Linked DNA regions of Mus musculus. The protein of the gene in region 1 purifies or fractionates together with the protein of each later gene. This does not show direct contact. Links are inferred from orthologs where the notes say so. Each region holds a gene or a part of one and is shown in the gene's direction. Other genes may lie near its edges.

The links.
Region 2: the proteins of Ttc1 (region 1) and Vapb purify together in Homo sapiens (affinity purification with mass spectrometry; 4 studies listed by BioGRID and IntAct, counting the BioPlex papers as one, with this or other methods). This does not show direct contact. The link is inferred for Mus musculus from reciprocal best matches to the Homo sapiens genes TTC1 and VAPB.

Annotation. Positions count from the first base shown.
Region 1 is NC_000077.6:43,741,791-43,751,837, reverse strand, and holds the start of Ttc1 (tetratricopeptide repeat protein 1), read left to right. Parts: upstream 1-3,829; 5' UTR 3,830-3,916; intron 3,917-6,390; 5' UTR 6,391-6,423; coding exon 6,424-6,753; intron 6,754-10,016; coding exon 10,017-10,047.
Region 2 is NC_000068.7:173,765,700-173,775,069, forward strand, and holds part of Vapb (vesicle-associated membrane protein-associated protein B), read left to right. Parts: intron 1-5,821; coding exon 5,822-5,925; intron 5,926-8,694; coding exon 8,695-8,775; intron 8,776-9,370. UniProt on the Homo sapiens protein: Endoplasmic reticulum (ER)-anchored protein that mediates the formation of contact sites between the ER and endosomes via interaction with FFAT motif-containing proteins such as STARD3 or WDR44.

The DNA of each region.
Region 1 (10,047 bases):
TCTGGAGCTGGGGCTATGGCTCAGTTAGTTGAGTCAATCCCTAAACTGGATAAAACCAGGTGTTGTGGTACATGCCTCTATCCCAACACTAGGGGGAGAGCGGGGCAAGGGTGCTTGAAATAAGAGGATTGGAGATCAGCTAAATTTTGAGTTCAAGGTCAGCCCAGGATACATGTCTTAGACAAGTGAATAAATACATGAATGAAGTAGGTTAAAAAGACCTTTTTGGTTTCCTGTTTTGTCCTGGGAAAATTTCTAGATCTCTGTACAGGAAGTCAAGCAGACAAGAGTCTTGTGGATCTTTTGATGGACTAAAGGGCATCACTTCCAGGTGGTGATGGAAAGACAGGAGACCATGTGATAGAGTGAGAAACTTTAGCGGCAGTAAGGGAATATCTGCAGAAAGAGTTCAAGCATGACACAGAGCAGCTGTCACCAGTGTCACACAGAGGACACAGTGCACAGAGGTCTGGAGAAGGGAAAAGAGTCTCTGCACAGTTAGGAATAGCAAGTGACTAAGGGGGACAGTGACCCCAGCAGAAATAGAGGCAGAATCTCACAAGTCTGGGGGGGGGGGGTCACAGTAAGGAGTTTCAGGTTTTATTGCAGCCATAGTAGGATAGAAAGTTATGTAAAATGGTTACTTATGGAAGCCAGAAGACAACTCAGGGGAGTTGATTCTCTTCTACATTGTGAGTCCTGAGGCTTGAACTCAGGTAGTCAGCCTTGGCAACAAGGGCCTTTACCTACTGAGCCATCTCACTGGCCCTTGTTTTGTTTGTTTGAGACAGGGTCTATGTATCTGCTTCTGTTTATTTCCTCTACACAGTCTTTTTTTTTTCGAGGCAGGGTTTCTCTGTATAGCCCTGGCTGTCCTGGAACTCACTTTGTAGACCAGGCTGGCCTCGAACTCAGAAATCCGACTGCTTTTGCCTCCCGAGTGCTGGGATTAAAGGTGTGCGCCACCACACCCGGCTTCCTCCACAGTCTTAAAACCCTTCCAACTGAATGTCCCTCCTTTCTTCTCCCTGCATCTTTCTATCTGCCCTCCTGACTTCCTCTCATGCTCTATGGTTCTTTTTTCTATGTTCACTTCCTGTCAACTGGTTGCTTGTTCCACCTCTTGGCCTAAGGTTGACTCCATTTAATCCTGTTTACAGTAAATAGAAAGCTCTTGCATGAAAGGTGTGTCCTAGCGCTGAGACACACCATAACTAGAAACAGGTTTCTAACTACACAATCTCACAGTGTGATCAGTACACACGCACTTGTGTGTGTGTGTGTGTGTGTGTGTGTGTGTGTGTGTGTGTGAGAGAGAGAGAGAGAGAGAGAGAGAGAGAGAGATCCACTTCCTTGTCCTCTTTTCCCCTCCCTCCTACTCCCCCTCCCCCACACCCTCTCTTTTCAGTGATAGAGATTAAACAAAGGACCTTAGATGTGATAGGCAAGTTTGTTTGTTTGTTTGTTTGTTTGTTTTTTAAACTTTTTGTTTTGTGCATGTATGGTCTTACTAAGATGCCCAGGTTAGTTGTGGACTCTCTCAATAGCCCAGGCAGACTCATCTGTAACTTTCAACCTTCCAATCTCACCTTCAAGGAAATAGCTGGGATTACAGCAGGCCCGTGGGGGGTGGGGGATGTTGGTAGCTAATATATAAATACATTTTTGCTAGCATTTCAGATGGCTATTCACTTTCTAGACGTAGCTGACCTAGAACTCACTACGCCCAGACTACCTACCCAGTCTGGCCACAAAGTTCTGTGATCTTACTGCCTCCACCTCCCAAGCACTGAGATTATACCCATTATACCTGTTCTGGTGGATTTTAAAGTTACACTGTTTAAGAGATTTGAAAATGGGGCAGTGGTGGCACACGCCTTTAATCCCAGCACTTGGGAAGCAGAGGCACGCAGATTTCTGAGTTCGAGGTCAGCCTGGCCTGCAGAGTGAGTTCCAGGACAGCCAGGGCTATACAGAGAAACCCTGTTTGACAAAAAAAAACAAAACAAACAAACAAACAAACAATAAAGGATGTGGTATACGTGGTATACTTTTTCAATGCTTTTATCACGGTAAATATTTACTCAAAATTTTAAGAAAAACTCCTGCTATTAGTTCATCTTTTCAAGTGAACCAAATTACATAAACAACTATGGAAAATAACACCAGAATCGTATACTTTTCATTTCTTTTGTTGAGTATTAGTATTTATCAGGAAAGGGAGAGATAGAGAGAGGTGGATAAAGGTGTGTGAATGACATATAGGTGTGGATGAGAAGACAACATTCAGGGGCTAGTTCTCTCCTTCTACCACATGTTCCTGGAGATCAGACTCTGGTCAGCAAGCTTGCTGGCAAGTGCCTTATTGTCACACTAAGTCATCTCTCATCTCCCTAGCCCCTCACAATCTCACAACCTTATTTGTCAGAAAATTACGAGTCAGAAATATGGCTCATGCTTCACTGGGTATGAGTATGTCTTGTTTTGTTTTGTTTTTCGAGACAGGGTTTCTCTGTTTAGCCCTGGCTGTCCTGGAACTCACTTTGTAGACCAGTCTGGCCTCGAACTCAGAAATCCCCCTGCCTCTGCCTCCCAAGTGCTGGGATTAAAGGCGTGCGCCACCACAGCCCAGCGGTATGGGTATGTCTTATGTTTCATTTCAGTGTTAAATCTTTTTTTTTTTTAATAATTCTGTATAGCTCCGGCTGTCCTCGAACTCACTCTTTAGACAAGGCTGGCCTCAACTCAGAAATCTGCCTGCCTCTGCCTCCCATGTGCTGGGATTAAAGGCAAGTGACACCACTGCCTAGCTTCTGTGTTAATTCTTAAAGTATCTACATTTAAAAACAAATAAATCAAAGGAACAGTATTTCTGTCTATGAAATTTTGTATAACTCTATGGAATTTTTTTAACTTTACTGTTATCTAATTAACTCTTCTGGTGTGCATGAGTGTTTGTTTACATGTATGCCTGTTTACCATGTGTGTGCCTGGTGGCCATGAAGTTCAGAAGAGGATCTTAAATGCCCTGGAACTGGAGTTAAAGTTGTGGTAAGCTGCTATGTGAGTACTGGGGATTGAACCCTGGTCCTCTGAAAGTGCAGTCATTGCTCTCAATTGCTAAGTCATGCTTCCTAGCCCCTTGTGGGAATTCATGACTGAGCCTAGGAGAGACTTAACCAGTCTTGATGAAAGGCTACTTTCCTTTCCGATGTCTTTTTAATTTTCTCCATCTTTGCTATCCTGTCACAAGAAGAATGGCATTGTTTCAATTTTTTGCAAATCTCTGATTTAATACAGGACAGGTGAAGGCCTGGAGGTCTAGCTCACAAATAGACGGACTTGCCTAACAGCTAGAATAATTCACCCCTTTTTGTATTCCTTCTGTTGCACTATATCAGAAGACAACCTCTGGAAAGCGCTGTACAGTCATGAGAAAATGAGTGGAAAAAGTGTGTAATATTTACTGTTTTGAAAACTGTTACTCTCCTAACAGAGCTCTTGAAAGGCACTTTGGAAACTACTGGAAAGAAATGTTTATTTAGGGACGAAGGATGTTTTCGGGTTCTTATGCACATTCCTAACATGAGGGACGCCAGAATAAAGACGTTTTTAAAGCCACAAGTAGTCGCGTTTGAAAAATTACTTTGTGCTAATTGGCAGGATTTGACATAACTCAAGATGACAGCTGAGGCTCATAGTACTGAGCCGTACAGTGACGTCACACAGCTACTTCCGCTCACTCTCTTCGAGTTGGCCACTACATTTCCCAGAATGCTTTGCCAGCAATGGCGCCATTGGCCAGCGCGGCCGGAAGTGCACCTGACTCAGGAGGAAGTAGAAGGACTCGGAGGCAGGAGCGGTGGAGAGAGGAGCTGGGAGGTTGTGAAGCCCATCGTGGGTCTCGCGGCGTTCGGTGAGGACTGTGGCCTGGGACAGGCGCGGGGTCGCGCGGGGAGGGGCTTTTCTAACCTTGACTCATAGCCGGGAGGGACGCGACACTCGAGTAAAAGCGAAGCCTGCGAGTCCTGACCCTCCCTTTTAACTTTTCCTTTTAACAGGCTAGGACGAATTCGGACTTTAACGCGACACTGGGTCATTGGCGTGGTTTTGCTGCGACCAGAGGGGTGGCAGGCACCGCAGAGGTTCTGACTCAGCTTCTAGAGCAGCAGTGGTTAATAGGATGAACGTAAAATCATCAGAGTCACTTTAAAAAAACAGAGATGCTCTGACCTGACTGCAGACCAATATTGTCAGGATCTGGGCAGCAGGGTTGCGCAGCGAGAGTTGAGAACCGGCTCTTCCAAGGCTGAGTTCTGAGTCCCTGGAGGATGCCTGTGAAAACATCTGCGCAAAGGCTCCCCTTCCAGAATTAGCTACCTAAGCTATACCGCTTGCATTTGCTTACGATGATAAGCACGATTTGGGCACAGATGCCATCTTGGGCTCCATAAGAAACTTATTCTTCGGCTCCCGGTGGCGATAGTGTCCCATTCGGACTTCATTGTTTCCTGTTGACAACTTGGTCATTTATTCTGAACAAAGATTAGAACTCTTTCTTTCTTTCTTTCTTTCTTTCTTTCTTTTTTTTTCCCCTGCAGCTGTTTTGGATTCTGTCTAATTTGTGCCATCCAGCAAGCTGCCGGACGTGGAAAAGTCACATTAAAATCAGTCTTTTCATTTAGGGTATGGATCGAGGGTGTGGTTCAGTTGTTTAAATGGCTTACATGTACCACAAAGTCTGAGATTCGGTCTCCAACACCAGTGGGAAGTGGGGATGTTAGTCTTGGTATAAGTCTGATACCATATTTGATCAGCAAGACTATCAGTTAAAATGATAATTGGCATTGAGTGTGAGTTTATTATACTCTAGTTTGGGGCTGGGGAGGGGCCTAATACAGGGTCTCATAGCCCAGGCTAGCCTCACATTTGCTGTGTAACCAAGGATGGCCTTGAACTTCTGATCTTTCTAACTACATCTCCCCAATGATGAGACTGCAGGAATGGGCCACCACAATTGGTGATATCCTGTTTTTAAAATGACTTCCTTGGACAGGCATGATCCATACTCCTTTAATCCAGCAATGGGGAGACAGAGGAGGGTGGATCTCTGAGATCAAGGCCAGCCTGATGAACAAAACAAGTTCCAGAACAGCCAGGGTCACACAGAGAAACCCTGTCTCAAAAAACAAAAACAAACAAACAAAAAAAAACAAGCCGGGCATGGTGGTGCACTCCTTTAATCTCAGCACTCAGGAGGCAGAGGCAGGCAGATTTCTGAGTTCGAGGCCAGCCTGGTCTACAAAGTGAGTTCCAGGATAGCCAGGGCTACACAGAGAAACCCTGTCTAGAAAACAAAACAAAACAAAAAAACCAATAATACTTATAAAACAAATAAATAAAAATAATGACTCCCCAGTCAAAGAAAGTCAAGCTGTGTTTGGCGGGGTTATATGTAGAAGTTTGTTTAGGTGTGAAAGACAGAAGGGTTTTTTTTTTCCATATTTTTTTTATTGGGTATTTATTTCATTTATTTCCAATGCTATCCCAAAAGTCCTCCACACGCTCCCCCACCCACTCCCCTACCCACCCACTCCCACTTCTTAGCCCTGGCGTTCCCCTGTACTGAGGCATATAAAGTTTGCACGACCAATGGGGCTCTCTTTCCACTGATGGCCGCCTAGGCCATCTTCTGATTCATATGCAGCTGGAGACAAGAGCTCCAGGGTACTGGTTAGTTCATATTGTTGTACCACCTATAGGATTGCAGATCCCTTCAGCTCCTTGAGTACTTTCTCTAGCTCCTCCATTGGGGGCCCTGTGATCCATCCAATAGCTGACTGTGAGCATCCACTTCTGTGTTTGCCAGGCCCTGGCATAGTCTCACAAGAGAGCCATATCTGGGTCCTTTCAGCAAAATCTTGCTAGTGTATGCAATGGTGTCAGCGTTTGGAAGCTGATTATGAGATGGATCCCCGGATATGGCAGTTTCTAGATGGTCCATCTTTTCGTCTCAGTTCCAAACTTTGTCTCTGTAACTCCTTCCATGGGTGTTTTGTTCCCAATTCTAAGAAGGGGCAAAGTGTCCACACTTTGGTCTTCGTTCTTCTTGAGTTTCATGCGTTTAGCAAATTGTATCTTATATCTTGGGTATTCTAAATTTCGGGGCTAATATCCGACAGAAGGGATTTAAGACTGTATACAGCCGGGCACTAGTGGCTCACACCTTTAATCCCAGCACTTGGGAGGCAGAGGCCAGCCTGGTCTACAGAGTGAGTTCCAGGACAGGTAGGGCTACACAGAGAAACCCTGTTTTGAAAAAAACAAAAAACAAAAAAGACTGCATATATACGAAGATAACTAAAAAACATTATTTTTCTTTTTTTCCAGACATTTAGCCGTACCTCCCTCCCTGAACTCAGCATGGAGGAAAAGTCAGAAGACTGTAAGGTCCCAGAAGATCTGTTCAATGGTCTGAAAGTCGCAGATCCTCAAGAAGGAGAGTCTGCCAGCCCCATGGTTTCTGATCCCAAGGGTCAGCACTGCCAGAGCAAGCTGCCGAAGGCTGCTGAAGCCCATCCACAGGACGACCATGTTGAAGAGGAATGTTTTCATGACTGTAGTGCCTCGTTTGAGGAGGAACAGCCAGGGGCGCACGTGGCAGGGAGCAAAGCCAGCGATGATTCTAGTTCTGAACTGGATGAAGAATACCTAATTGAACTGGAAAAAAACATGCCAGAAGAAGAGAAACAGGTAAATGGTTGTGGATAATGTGCCTGCTAAGTCACCTGTGATGGTGGTGGTGCTGTTTGGGGGGGATATGGTCTCTCGGCGTCCTCTTGACTGGACTGAAACAATACATAGAATGACCCTGTAGCAGTCCTCTTGCCTCTGCCTCCCAAATGCTAGGGTTACAGGCCTCAGCCACCATGCCTACCTAGCTTAAAACCCATCTAAATTTTAATTCATTGCTTTGTATATATTTTAGGTCAGGATATATGATTGTTTGTATATGCTTGGCCCAGGGAGTGGCACTGTTGGGAGGTGTGGCCTTATTGAAGCGGTGCAGCCTTGTGTATGTGGGCTGTAATATCCTTGTCTTAACTACCTGGGAGCCGGTCTTTCACTAGCAGCCTTCAGATGAAGATGTAGAACTCTCAGCTCTGCCTGCACTGTGCCTGCCTGGATGCTGCCATTCTCCCACCTTAATGATAATGGACTGAACCTCTGAACCTGTAAGCCAGCCTCAATTAAATGTCCTTTATAAGACTTGGTCATGGTGTCTGTTCACAGCAGTAACACCCTATCTAAGACAGGGTATGACCACGTAGCCCAAGCTAGCTCCCAGTCTTCCTACCTTCACTTCCCTAGTGCTGTGATATGGGCACACAAAACCAAAACCTGATCATTCAGTTTAACAAAGCAATTGCTGGCTTTTTCCTGTGTATTTAGAATTCTGTCTTCTACCTTAAGGATCTACAACGTGCTTATAATACGTATGTGCACACATACCTGTAGCTTCTAGGGTTTTTGTGGCATAACCAAATCCAAGTCCTCACAAATGCAGGCCAGGTGCTCTGCTGCTAAACTTCATCTTCATCACCACCTTCTGCTTTGTTTTTTAAATGATCCCTCCTAAGGTAAGTTGCTGAATTTCTGTAACAAACCTCGTGTAAACTTACTTAGCACTATTTTATGGATTGTGCTTTTTAATCCTAAATACCTTGGTGGCATTGTGACTACAGAGCACCGTTAAGTGTCAAGGAACACATTGTGAAGCATAGTAGCTATTTGTTGGAAACCTACAGTGTACCAGCTACTAAAGCTAAGATGTTTTTTAAGTTAATGTGTGAGTGGTTAGGACTAAGACCATGCACCTAATAGATGGTAAAACTGGTTTTCCAACTCAGGTCTCCTGATAGTCAAGTTCATGAGCTACCTTATCAGAACTGTCTCAGCAAATGAAAGCAAATATTGTTTACCCTTCAGAAACATACCTCTAGAAAGTCAGTGTAGGGTTGTTCAGTTTATAGCATCCATGTCAAACGTTTAGTAGCCAAGCCGGTCCATTAGTTCCAGCACTCAGGAGATAGAGGCTGGCAGATTGAAGTTCAAAGCTAGACTGGTCTGCAAAGTGAGATCCAGCACAGCCAGGACTACCCAGAGAAACCTTGTCTCAAAATACAAAACAAATCAAAACAGAAAGTCAGTAGGCAGACTTACTTTTAGGGGGGTATGTGCCTGTAAACTCAGGAACTTACCCGTGCTAAGCCAGTGCTCTACCACCGAGTTACCCCAGCCCTCCGTTAGCTGCTATTTACTTTCTGCTAGTATTATAAGGAATTTTTGTGAAATTATCATTAACCAACAAAATAGAAGAAATGTTCTCATTGGTTATTTCAGATTATTAGGAACAGGGGAGTATCATACCTGATTTTATGGCGATTATGACACTGGAAAAAAAAATCCAACAATGAGCCAAAAAAGTGAAAATTTTCAGCCTTAATCTAATAACTTTAAGATGTAAATGAGAATATGTCTGTAGTCAGATGTGCTTGTCCTTGCATGTAATCACAATATAAGGAGGCTGAGGCAGTAAAATTGCTTTGAGTTACAAACTTGAGGACAGCCTGGGCAGCACCCTTTCTTAAAACAAAAACTAGAACTTTAGACCAGGAGAGATGTCTCAGCATGAAAAGGCACTTACTGCCAAGCCTGATGACTTGAGTCCCACATGATGTCCTTTGACCTTCACATGCCCCTGCCAGTCATTTAGCTGTATCCTCTTGGCCAGCCCTTCTCAAGCTGTGGTGACCTCTCGGAAAGGGTGTGTCTGCTTTTACTTTTGGTGCTGGCGGTTAGATTGCAGAGCCTAGAGTGTGCGAGGCAAATGTGCTAGTGCTGGCATGCTGTACCGGGAAATGAGTTATTGTTGTACTTACACAAATGGTTGTCCGGCACACAGCAGATGCCATAAAGAGTGGCATCAGTTCACACCTACCTTTTCGCATCCTTACCAACATTCAGCTACTTTGTTTGATCCAGCATCTAATAATACACGGCCCTTTCAAGTAGTGTATTAACAAGTCTTCTCAAGAGAAATGCGGTTTTTATTTTGGTTTCTAGTTTGTTTTGAATTGGGTTTTTTGGTTTTTGTTTGTTTGTTTGTTTTGCTTTTGTTTTGTTTTTGAAAAAAAAAACAAAAAACATGCCTGGCTCAGCCTCCAGAATATTGGTATCACAGGTGTGCACCACTACCACCAGGCATGGGTCTTAGACCTGAGAGTACCAGTTATTTAGGTCTTAAGCTTCTCTTGTACACGAAATATACATGCTTATGTTATTTTCCTTTCACAGATTTTGTTGAGTCTCAGATTTTAACGAAATGGAGGAAGGGCGTCCCTGGGTGGTTTTGTGTGTTTCCTTGCTTTTGTGGGGATTGGACAAAACACTGTCCAGATGTGGAAGGTAGGCCTCCATGGTTCTGCCAGTGGGCCTTGGAGCAACCACATTGTTAGCATGTTCCTTGAAGGAGGCACATGCCAGACACAGCATGTTCCATCTTTTCTCTGTGGGCAGCACTTGGTCCATGCTTGTGTTTGATACATTTTAATTCATCTATATAAGTTGCTGAGTTATTAGAAGCCAAGAGGAGAAAAATCTCAAGTTTGAGTTTTTATTTATTTATTTTTTTTTTTTTTTTTTTTTTTTTGGAGACAAGGTTCCTCTATGTCCTGACTGTCCTGGGACTTGCTCTGTAGATCAGGCTGGCCTTAAACTCACAGAGATTCACCTGCCTTTGCCTTGCAGAGTGCTGTGACTAAAGGCATACACCTCCACTGCCAGCTTTAAGTTTTGGTTTTTGACACAGGGTCTCAGTTATAACCCAGGCTGGCTTCAGTTTCTCAGCAGTCCTTCTGCCTCAGCCTCCTGAATGCTGGACTACAACGTGACCCCCACCCCCCAATTTCATTGATAATGTTGTGAGAAACTGAAAATTATTTGATCTCTTTCAGAAAAGAAGAGAGGAGAGCGCTAAACTAAAGG
Region 2 (9,370 bases), on another chromosome or scaffold:
TGAATTCTAATCGCACGAAGTGGTAAGCTTTTATTTGCAGTTCAGTTGTGCACATTGCCTGTCCCTATGCCAAGTGCATTACACATGCAGAGTGTCCACAGGAAGCATGGGCAGAATCATTAAAGACACCAGATCTAGATACAGACTCACTTTACTCAGTGTGCCCTCGGATTGAAGATGGTTTAAAGCCCAGCGTAGCTCTCCCAGTATCTGAGTCTGTGTTAAACTGGAATTCAGAGCAGAGGGCGCATGTTGGTTTCTGAGAGTCCCTTCAGGGCTCGTTTTAATTATGTTTAGACATAAAGTTCTTCCAGTGAGGTGCAGAGAACAGAATGAGAATCAGCAGCTCGTGGGATGGGGATGCTGGTCAATTAATGTAAGTGGATAGTATTGCAATTGATAATTAATCCGTTTATGATGGTGCTGGCTAGGGGGGGGATGTTGCTGTTTACTGGCATTGGACCAAGCAGCTGTGGGCTGCAGCATCCAGGTGTTGAGCCTCAGGGTAGAAGTGAACTTAACCTGTTAACAAAGAAGCCTGGCATTTGTCTTCCGGTGTGGACAGAGGGGCTGCTGTGGGGACTTCCTTGGATCCAGCCCTTGCTTTGGAGGCTCTGATGAATAAGCGCAGCCCTTTCACTGGATGGCCTCCATGAGCCGTCGTCCTCCCCACTCCCAGAGAAGAGCAGCCTAGGCTGCAGTTTAAGATAAGTCTCTAACCTTTTCACCAGATTAGATTATGGCTTAAAATATTTTACCAACAAAAACTTAGCTTAATTGTGCTCACAGCCTTTCAGATCTTGCTGTAGGACACCGGCTTCTTGGGAAGCCCTTTCCCATCTTCTCATGAATATGACCCAAGGGCAGAACCTAGAAGACTGCTCAAGAGATACCTAGCTGAAAGGTACCTTTTGGCTCTTCAAGGTGAGCCAGGAGTACAGTCTATAAAACTTGGGGCAGCAGAAGGTGCTGAAAGTGATCTCAGCCTGTCCTTGTAGGTGGTGTCTTTGGCTCCCCTTGAAGTCCCATCCTACCTACTCTTTGTAACTTCAGTGCCAGCTCATTGCAGAAGGAAGGGAGAGGACAAGGTAGTTGGGAGAGTCCTGGCCATGAGCACCCAGAAAGCAGGCGAGAGAGAAGTTGCCAGGCACAGGAACTGCCCCTGCCCGCCTTAGGCCTCACTGGTCTCTGTTGTAGATGGTCAGTCCTCAGAGGTTTGTCTCAGTCTCCCTGAGATCAGCTAACACTTGGTGGGGCTCAGGGTGCACAGTTATACTAGGAGGCTGTGTTCTGCTGTTAGCTATGGCATAGGAAGGGTGAGGGGCCTTGCTGTTTGACCTGTTACAGGCATCCTCTCTCTTGATCCTGAAGAAAGGCTGAGGGCCGCACCGTGGGCTCTGCACAAGCAGATGGAGCAGACTGCCAGGTGTTTGTTACCTGAGCTGAGCACGTGAGCCAGAGAGGCCCATAGAGGACACAGGTAGAGCAGCAGTGTTCTTGTAACCAGGTGAGGTTAGTTATAGACCTGCTCGGTTTGAATAGTAGAGGCCCAGGAAAGTAGTCACAGTGGCCCCTGAAGGAAACAATGAACTTACTCATGGCAAAGGCTTGGGGCCTACCCAGTTGTCTCAGGAGTCCAGCATTCATGGCCACACTAATCACCCTAGCTGTAAGAAGCTCACACTTGTCTTCTGCGACATTGCCGCAAATGCATTGAGTTGGTAGATGATGCTCTTCTGACTCTCGGACTGTGAAAGGAGGGAAGAAGCCCAGAGGATGTGAGCAACTCCACTGGGTCTCTTCTGCTTGGGCAGTAGCTGCTGTTACAGGAAGTTGTCATCTGAGTGCTGTAGGGGGCTGTGGGGTATCTTCCTAGGTCTAGAAAGCTGATTTGGTGGGAAAGAAACAGCTCTGCAGAACCTCTGCTTGGGACTAAGAGCGCGAGTGAGTGAGAGTCAAATGGTTGTGGATTTGTCGCATGTGGAGACATCTTCAGGCTAGATTCAGAGACTGTGCAGTGGAGCTCTGTAGATGTTCCTTACTTACTTGCCTGTTCCACTGTGGTATACATGAAAACGGCCATGGCTGCCTGGCTCCCCGGAAGCAGCCTTTATGCTGCGTTTAACCAGATTGTCATTTTCTAAGCCAGTGTGTGTTTTAAGTGGCCCGGTTTTTCTCTTTTGAGGGAAGTCTGGTGTGATCGATCCACTTCTTCATGACCCTGAAGGTTCTTTGCAAGGGTCCTACCTTCATGCCTAATGCAGCAGGCTGTGTCCTCATCCCAGTGTGGGTGAGGGGTGACTGAGCCCAGGTTGTCTCCTGGTAACAGGCCTCTTTTAATGTTCTGTCAGCAGATGCGCTCTGAAAGGAGGGACGGTTCACTTAGGGTTTTTATCATCAGTGTCTCTGGTATTTAAATGAAATAAATTAAGTTAATGGGAAGCTCTTTTATAGCCTGTCATGGAAAAAGTACATAATTTGTGCCACAATTTGCAGCGAGCTAGCGCTGACCAACATTTATTCCTCCATGTTCTCATAAAATCTCTGCTGAGACTGGATTTGACAGGAGCTGGTGGCAGCTGAGGAACAGGAACTCGGTGGTGTACGTGAAGGGCTCCATGAGGCGGGGGGTGGGTCCTAGGTGTACCAAGGGTCTGTAGAGTGTCATCTACAGAAAGGACAGCCAGTGCGAGGCAGACAGCTGCTTCTCTTCTTGTTTCTGCAGTGGGGGAGGGGCAAGTCTCCACCTTATACCCAGAGCTTCTTAGAAGAGCACTCCAGAGGCCCTGGTTCCCATTCTGGGCTGAGGTTCTCTGGTTATCCTCACTGGGGCCCTGAACATTGATGTATGTTGACTTAGGAATTGTGACTGGCCACCACTAGGCCTGCCTGTGTGCCCTGCCATCAAGTGTTTCTCTGGGCTCTCCACTATGGGGCTGAGCAGTAGGGTGCTGTAGTCTAGGAATGGGGGTAGTGAGGCTGTAGACCAGGATGCTGTAGGCCCAGGAGTGGGGTGGTGAGGCTGTCGACCATGATGCTGTAGGCCAGGAGTGGGGTGGTGAGGCTGTCGACCATGATGCTGTAGGCCAGGAGTGAGGTGGTGAGGCTGTCGACCATGATGCTGTAGGCCAGGAGTGGGGTGGTGATGGTTGTAGGCAAAGCTGCGGTTTTGAGGTCTTGAGGTATATGCTTACTCAGAGTAGCACAGGGATCATATGCAGTGCTGCCTTCAAAGCTGCCCCTGTGGCTCAGGCATGGGTGCAGATAGTTCCTTTCTCTTTAGGTTGCCTATAGAAAGGGCCCATAGGCACTAGTCCAGTTGATTCCCTCTAGAGAGGGCCAGGAAGGCAGTGTATGTGGCAGCTGTGCTCCTGTGTAGTCTCTAAACTTTTTGTGTTAGGGACAGTTGAAGACCCCAAAGAGTGTAGCAGGTCTTTGTGAGCTGTAGTGATATTTATTATATTAAAATTTTTTAAATGACTAATTTCTTTAAAAATTACAATCCGTCAATTACATGTTAGTAGTAATACTTTTTATGAAAGTAGCTATTCTCAAAGAAATTGGAAGGCTGGCGTTGTTGACAGCTTCTGCAAATCTGACGTCTTAATAGGCTGCTTCTCGTGTCTGCTTCATTCAGTACGCTGCACCGCTGTCGTGGTGGGTGGGTCTCCCAGACAGGAAGTTAACAGCATCTTTAGACAGCTCTGAGGCAGACAAGAAGCATTTTCTTTGTTTTGCTTCTTTTTTTTTTTTTCAATACTAGGGTTGACCCAGGCTTTGCGTGTGCTTTGTAGACCAAGCTGGCCTCAAATTGAGAGCCACCTGCCTCCGCCTCTGCCTCCAGAGTGCGGGATTAAAGGTGTGGGCTACCAACTACAGGCAAATCGGACCCATAGTGTGGGAATGAATGTAAGCCTGGACTCAGCCAGGCAGGAACCCCTCCTAGCCTTTTATCTCCTCCTATCTAGGAAGGAGAAACTTCTCATGGGACAGACTGCAGAAGGCAGGCCTGATATCCTTTGATACACAGTAGCAGGAGCTGTGGGGCAGACCTTTGGGTTTGTGTGTGTGTGTGTGTGTGTGTGTGTGTGTGCGTGCGTGCGTGTGCCTGTGTGTGTGTGTGTGTGTGTGTGCGTGTGTGCGTGCCTGTGTGTGTGTGCGTGCGTGCGTGTGCCTGTGTGTGTGTGTGTGTGCGTGTGTGCGTGCCTGTGTGTGTGTGCGTGTGTGCGTGCCTGTGTGTGTGTGTGTGTGTGTGTGTGCGCGCGTGCCTGTGTGTGTGTGTGTGTGTGTGTGTGCGTGCCTGTGTGTGTGTGCATGCGTGCCTGTGTGTGTGTGTGTGTGTGTGTGTGCGCGCGCGTGCCTGTGTGTGTGTGTGTGTGTGTGCGTGCCTCTGTGTGTGTGTGCGTGCCTATGTGTGTGTGTGCGTGTGTGTGTGTGTGTGTGTGTGCGCACGCGTACGTGTGTGCGTGCCTGTGTGTGTGTGTGTGCGCGCGCGTGCGCGTGTGTGCGTGCCTGTGTGTGTGTGTGTGTGTGTGTGCGCGCGTGCCTGTGTGTGTGTGTGTGTGTGTGCGTGTGTGCGTGCCTGTGTGTGTGCGTGCGTGTGTGCGTGCCTGTGTGTGTGTGTGTGCGTGTGTGCGTGCCTGTGTGTGTGTGTGTGCGTGTGTGCGTGCCTGTGTGTGTGTGTGCGTGTGTGCGTGCCTGTGTGTGTGCGTGCGTGTGTGCGTGCCTGTGTGTGTGTGTGTGCGTGTGTGCGTGCCTGTGTGTGCGTGTGTGCGTGCCTGTGTGTGTGTGTGCGTGTGTGCGTGCCTGTGTGTGTGCGCGCGTGTGCATGCATTTGTGGACTAAGGAAACTGGGTTCTATTTCAGGTTTTTCTGTTTTTTATTTTGCTGTTGTTGTTGTTTTAATCAGAAAAATAGACAGCAGAATAATGCCCTCCTCCCACAGCAGCGCCTGCTTCTTCGGATGGAGTGGGGTAATGGCAGTCTGAAGAGCAGGAGCCTAGGTTCTGGTTGGAGATGCAAGGCCCACACTGACTCTGAGGTGCCCCCTGATTGTGAACTTAGGTTTCAGGGAAGGCCACTAGGGGCAAAGCTTATTAAAGCTGTGCAGCAGAGAGAGTATAGCAGCCCTCCTATAACTGGGCCTGGCTGAGTCATGGGGAAACAGGTCCGAGGAAGTGAATCAGAATACAAGACTCCCTCAGTACAGCGGGGTGCCTTGGGTGAGCTCCCTCTGGGTTCTGGGTGGGGGTAGGGCAGGAGTTGGAATTGCTTTTCCTGCTGTGGCAAATCCAGCTTTTATGCCGTCTCCAGAATTCTATTGGCAAAATCATATTTCAAGCCTTACCTTGATGAGCTGCGTGGGAAATGGGGTGGAGAGAAGTGAAAACCATCCTGAAATGATTTGAGTTATTCTGTTTTCTTTCTCGAAAAGATCATTTGGCAATGTTTCCTTGAGAAAAATAGGACTTTGGTGTTTCTCCCATTTTATGTCTTCAGCGAGAGCTGTGAGATAGGTGAGGGTGGCTCTGTGTGAGCGCACAATCTTTGTATCAGAAATCAGGCACCCAAGTTCCAGACCCACCTACAGCTCAGCTGGCACCTGCTGTGAGGCTGGGACAGGCCCCAGTTTTTCTGGCCTTAACTGCTGACCTGAAAGATGGGGGTTGGGGAAGTTGTACATCTCTGCTGGCCACGGCCTTCCTCAGGGTCCAGATGGGAGAGCTGGGGAGCTGTTTTCCTCCACAGTGTAAGACCTAGCGTGACAAACGACTCCGATAACCACATTGTGACCCTCCTAATGAAATATTTTCTTTCTCAGTGATGTTACAGCCTTTCGATTATGATCCCAATGAGAAAAGTAAACACAAGTTTATGGTTCAGTCTATGTTTGCTCCGCCTGACACTTCTGATATGGAGGCAGTAGTAAGTACGAACACTTCTTCTTCTCTCCAGCCCGCTAGGGCAGCCATGGCGGGTGCTGTTAGGGAGGTGTACACTCAGGCCCCTGTACCACTTTCCCAACTTTGATGAATAGCTTTAACATTTTACATGGCTGTTCTTTTCTGACTCGATGAACTGAACTTGCTTCAATTCTCTGCTCTTGTGGACCTTCTCCTCCCTCTCCTGCACCACAGCGGCGTGCTCTATCCTGAGTGGATGCTTCTGGCCTGTCTCCAGCCCTCATGCCCGGAAGGGTTTGCCTAACATTAAATGCCCCTCCCCTCCCCCCCAGTGATACTGCCCGCTGTTGCTTTCCTCTGCGGAGCGGAAGTAGCTCTGGTCAGCTTTGTTCTTCCCTCTTTACTGAGGACGGAGCTTGGGTCTTGTTCACACTAAGCATCTGCTCTGTCTCTGAACAGGCCCTGCTTCTTTGTTCTTTAATTGCCTTCATTTTTATCCCTCCTTCCTCATGTAAGTACATGTTTAACAGTGTCCCTAATTTTGGTAAAATTAAGATGCCTTCGTTTTTTATAAATAAGCAGGATTTTATGGTATTGATTTTTCCAGAAGAAGGGGCATTAGAACGGCAATTCTCCCCAAAGGTGGCTCTTACCTACTCCAGGAGACAGGACCTGGGGCCAGCACATGCGGCACTGATCCTCAATATCTGGCCAGCCCAGAGATGGCCTATCAGCAGTTGTTCTGTCTCCGAGCTCTATGTGGGGGCCTTCTCCCCCACCGCACAGGCTTTGCTTTGAGCCCGCTGTTCGCATTGGTGCCTACCTTGGGGCAGAAAGAGAAGGTTGAGACAAGTTTTGAGTTGGAGCGAGACCTTGTCATAAGACCGACCCAGGGCATTTCTCTGACCTTTCGTTTCCAGATTTGTGTTGTGTTAGTCTATGTGCTGAAGGGACACATGACAGGCACAGACGGTGGACCGTTGACAGGCCGTGACTTTGGCCTGGCTTCCTCTGTGGTGTAGCTGGAAAGGTGGGGGCTTGGCTGTCCTCGTCTGAAGCTGAGGCCTGCCTTTACCCGTGCTATGCCTGTTTTGAACGGACTTTGTTGATACTTCTTGAGGTTTAGGCCACCTGTGAATTGGGCATAAAAATGCAGCCCACAGGATTTTGAGGAGAGTGTGCCCACGTCTGACATGTCACCCACGTAATTAGGGCTGGGCGCTGAAGGCTGATAAAGGGACTTTTATTTCTCGGTGGGTTGTTCTTGAATAACTATTTTTAAGTGTTCGGGCAGCACATTTTGGAGGGCGCTGTGGACACACCCCACTGAGTAAAACTGAGTTGGACGCAGGTGGCTGTTGATTCTCCCACACCAGGCCCTGCTGTTTGGAGAGCCTGTGTTACTCTTAAGCTGACACCATGCAGGCAACCAAGAGCAGTGCCCTATTGTTCCTGCCTCGATATCCTGTGTGTGAACATTTGCTGCCTTAGCTGTCATAGGCTTTCTTGTGCTAGCTGCCTACAGAGGACGGCTGCTGACTATCCCTGAGCCCTGTAGAACACGGACACTGTTTACTATGTAGTACAATATGCAGTCAGTACAGTGAACTGGAGCTATCAGTAGCTGAAAGGGCTCACCCATCCAGTGCTCTCTGAGTACTCCAGAGTGGTCTGTGGTTTTTAAAAAACCCACAGCCCCTTGGGGGCTTTAGGGTCCGGTTCTGTGGGCTTGGAGGGCTTTGATTATTTCCTCATTAAATTCAGATTCAAATTTGGGGGTAAGAATGGCCCATACTCAGGTGGTGTTACTGGTGGCTTGTCCCACTCTTGGTGTGTTTTGGTGAGTTGGCTCAGGCAGTGTTAAGCCTGTCTGCCCTGTAGTTTGTAGGCAGATCTCTGAGACCACTTAAGTGTCCTGCTGACCAGCAATGAGCACCCAGAGCTGGCCCTCTCATGATCCTCTCTGACTCATAAGTGGCACACAATCACAGGCCTTGTACAGAACGGCAGACACACGTGTTAGTGTCTTCCTGTGTAGCTCTCTGCTCTCAGGGGTCCTGTGAGTGGGGATGTGCTGTCACATTGACTGCTTGTGCCACACCTAGGGTGGCAGTGCTCTGGTGCCAGACAGACTGAGGGCCCTAGTTGCCATGCACAGTTGGGAGGGTGAGGGTGGGTGTCTTCCTTTTCTGAGTTGTCACCTTGCTGCTCTACTGGTCTGTCATTCCCAACCCTTCCTGGAGTCCCATCTTCTACATCTGAATGGAGACATCAGTGAGGGGCACATACCAGAAAATCACTGATGGTTGTGGTAACTTGGGCAGGGCCACCCTGATGCAGCCACTGTAGTGGGATGTGCCCCACTGGCGTGTGCCAAGGTGGGCTAGATACTCATCCTCCAGCTCGCTTGGTAGTGTTTGCCCTGTCGTGTAAATTTCATTGTCTTAAAGAGACCTGGAATTGCCTTTATAGAGGGTGGGTGACCCTGTTTAGCCGTGCTCCCCAGGCCTGTACTGCCCATGCAGCAGCAATGAGTGAGCTTGGACAGGCTCTAAGGAGCCAGGCAGCAAGCCTGCAGGGTTTGCAAAGTGTGATAAATATTCAGGAGAGCTAGTGCATTTAATCTTGTCATGTTAAAAATATTGAAATCTCAGCGGACTTAAGTTCTTTATTTGATATACATCAGGGCTTTCTCATTAAGAGTATTTTTCTGAAATTGTCAGTTATAGGAGGAGAATTATTCTTCCAGCAGCTTGATAATACCCTGATTATTAAATTTAAATTGTTTTAGTGGAAGGAGGCAAAACCGGAAGACCTTATGGATTCAAAACTTAGATGTGTGTTTGAATTGCCAGCAGAAAATGCTAAACCAGTAAGTATGTCTCTAGTTAACCAGTAAGTATGTCTCTCTAGCTAACCAGTAAGTATGTCTCTAGTTAACCAGTAAGTATGTCTCTAGTTAATGGTAAGTATGTCTCTGGTTTAAGGTGATCGAATGCTGCAAGCTGGTACTGATTTGCATGCTGTCTCCTGTGAAACCAAGATTTAAGTTGGCAAATTATTTTCCTCTCTCTAATGTATGAAGGAAAAAATAAGCTGAAGTCAACAGATAGGCTTTATAAAGTCAACCTTGGGGAAGCGGCTACCAGAAACAGTTTCCCCTTGAGAAGTGCAGCCTGTTGGCTCCCAAGGTCATTAATGCTGGGATGGTAAAGTAGGGAGACCAAAATGGAAGTCTTTGCCTTTGTCATCAGGCAAGCTCTCAGAGCTTTGCCTTTGTCATCAGGTCAGCTCTCAGAGCTTCCTTGTCAGTGTCCCCCAGCATCCATCCCTTTCCCCATCCCCACATCACTTCAGCCCAGCAGGTCTGCCTTGAGACAAGAAACTCTTGGCCCCAGTGCTGCTGGCATTTTGTGCTGGATTGGGAGCAGCATCCTGTGTACTGTGGAGTGTCAGGCATGAACCAG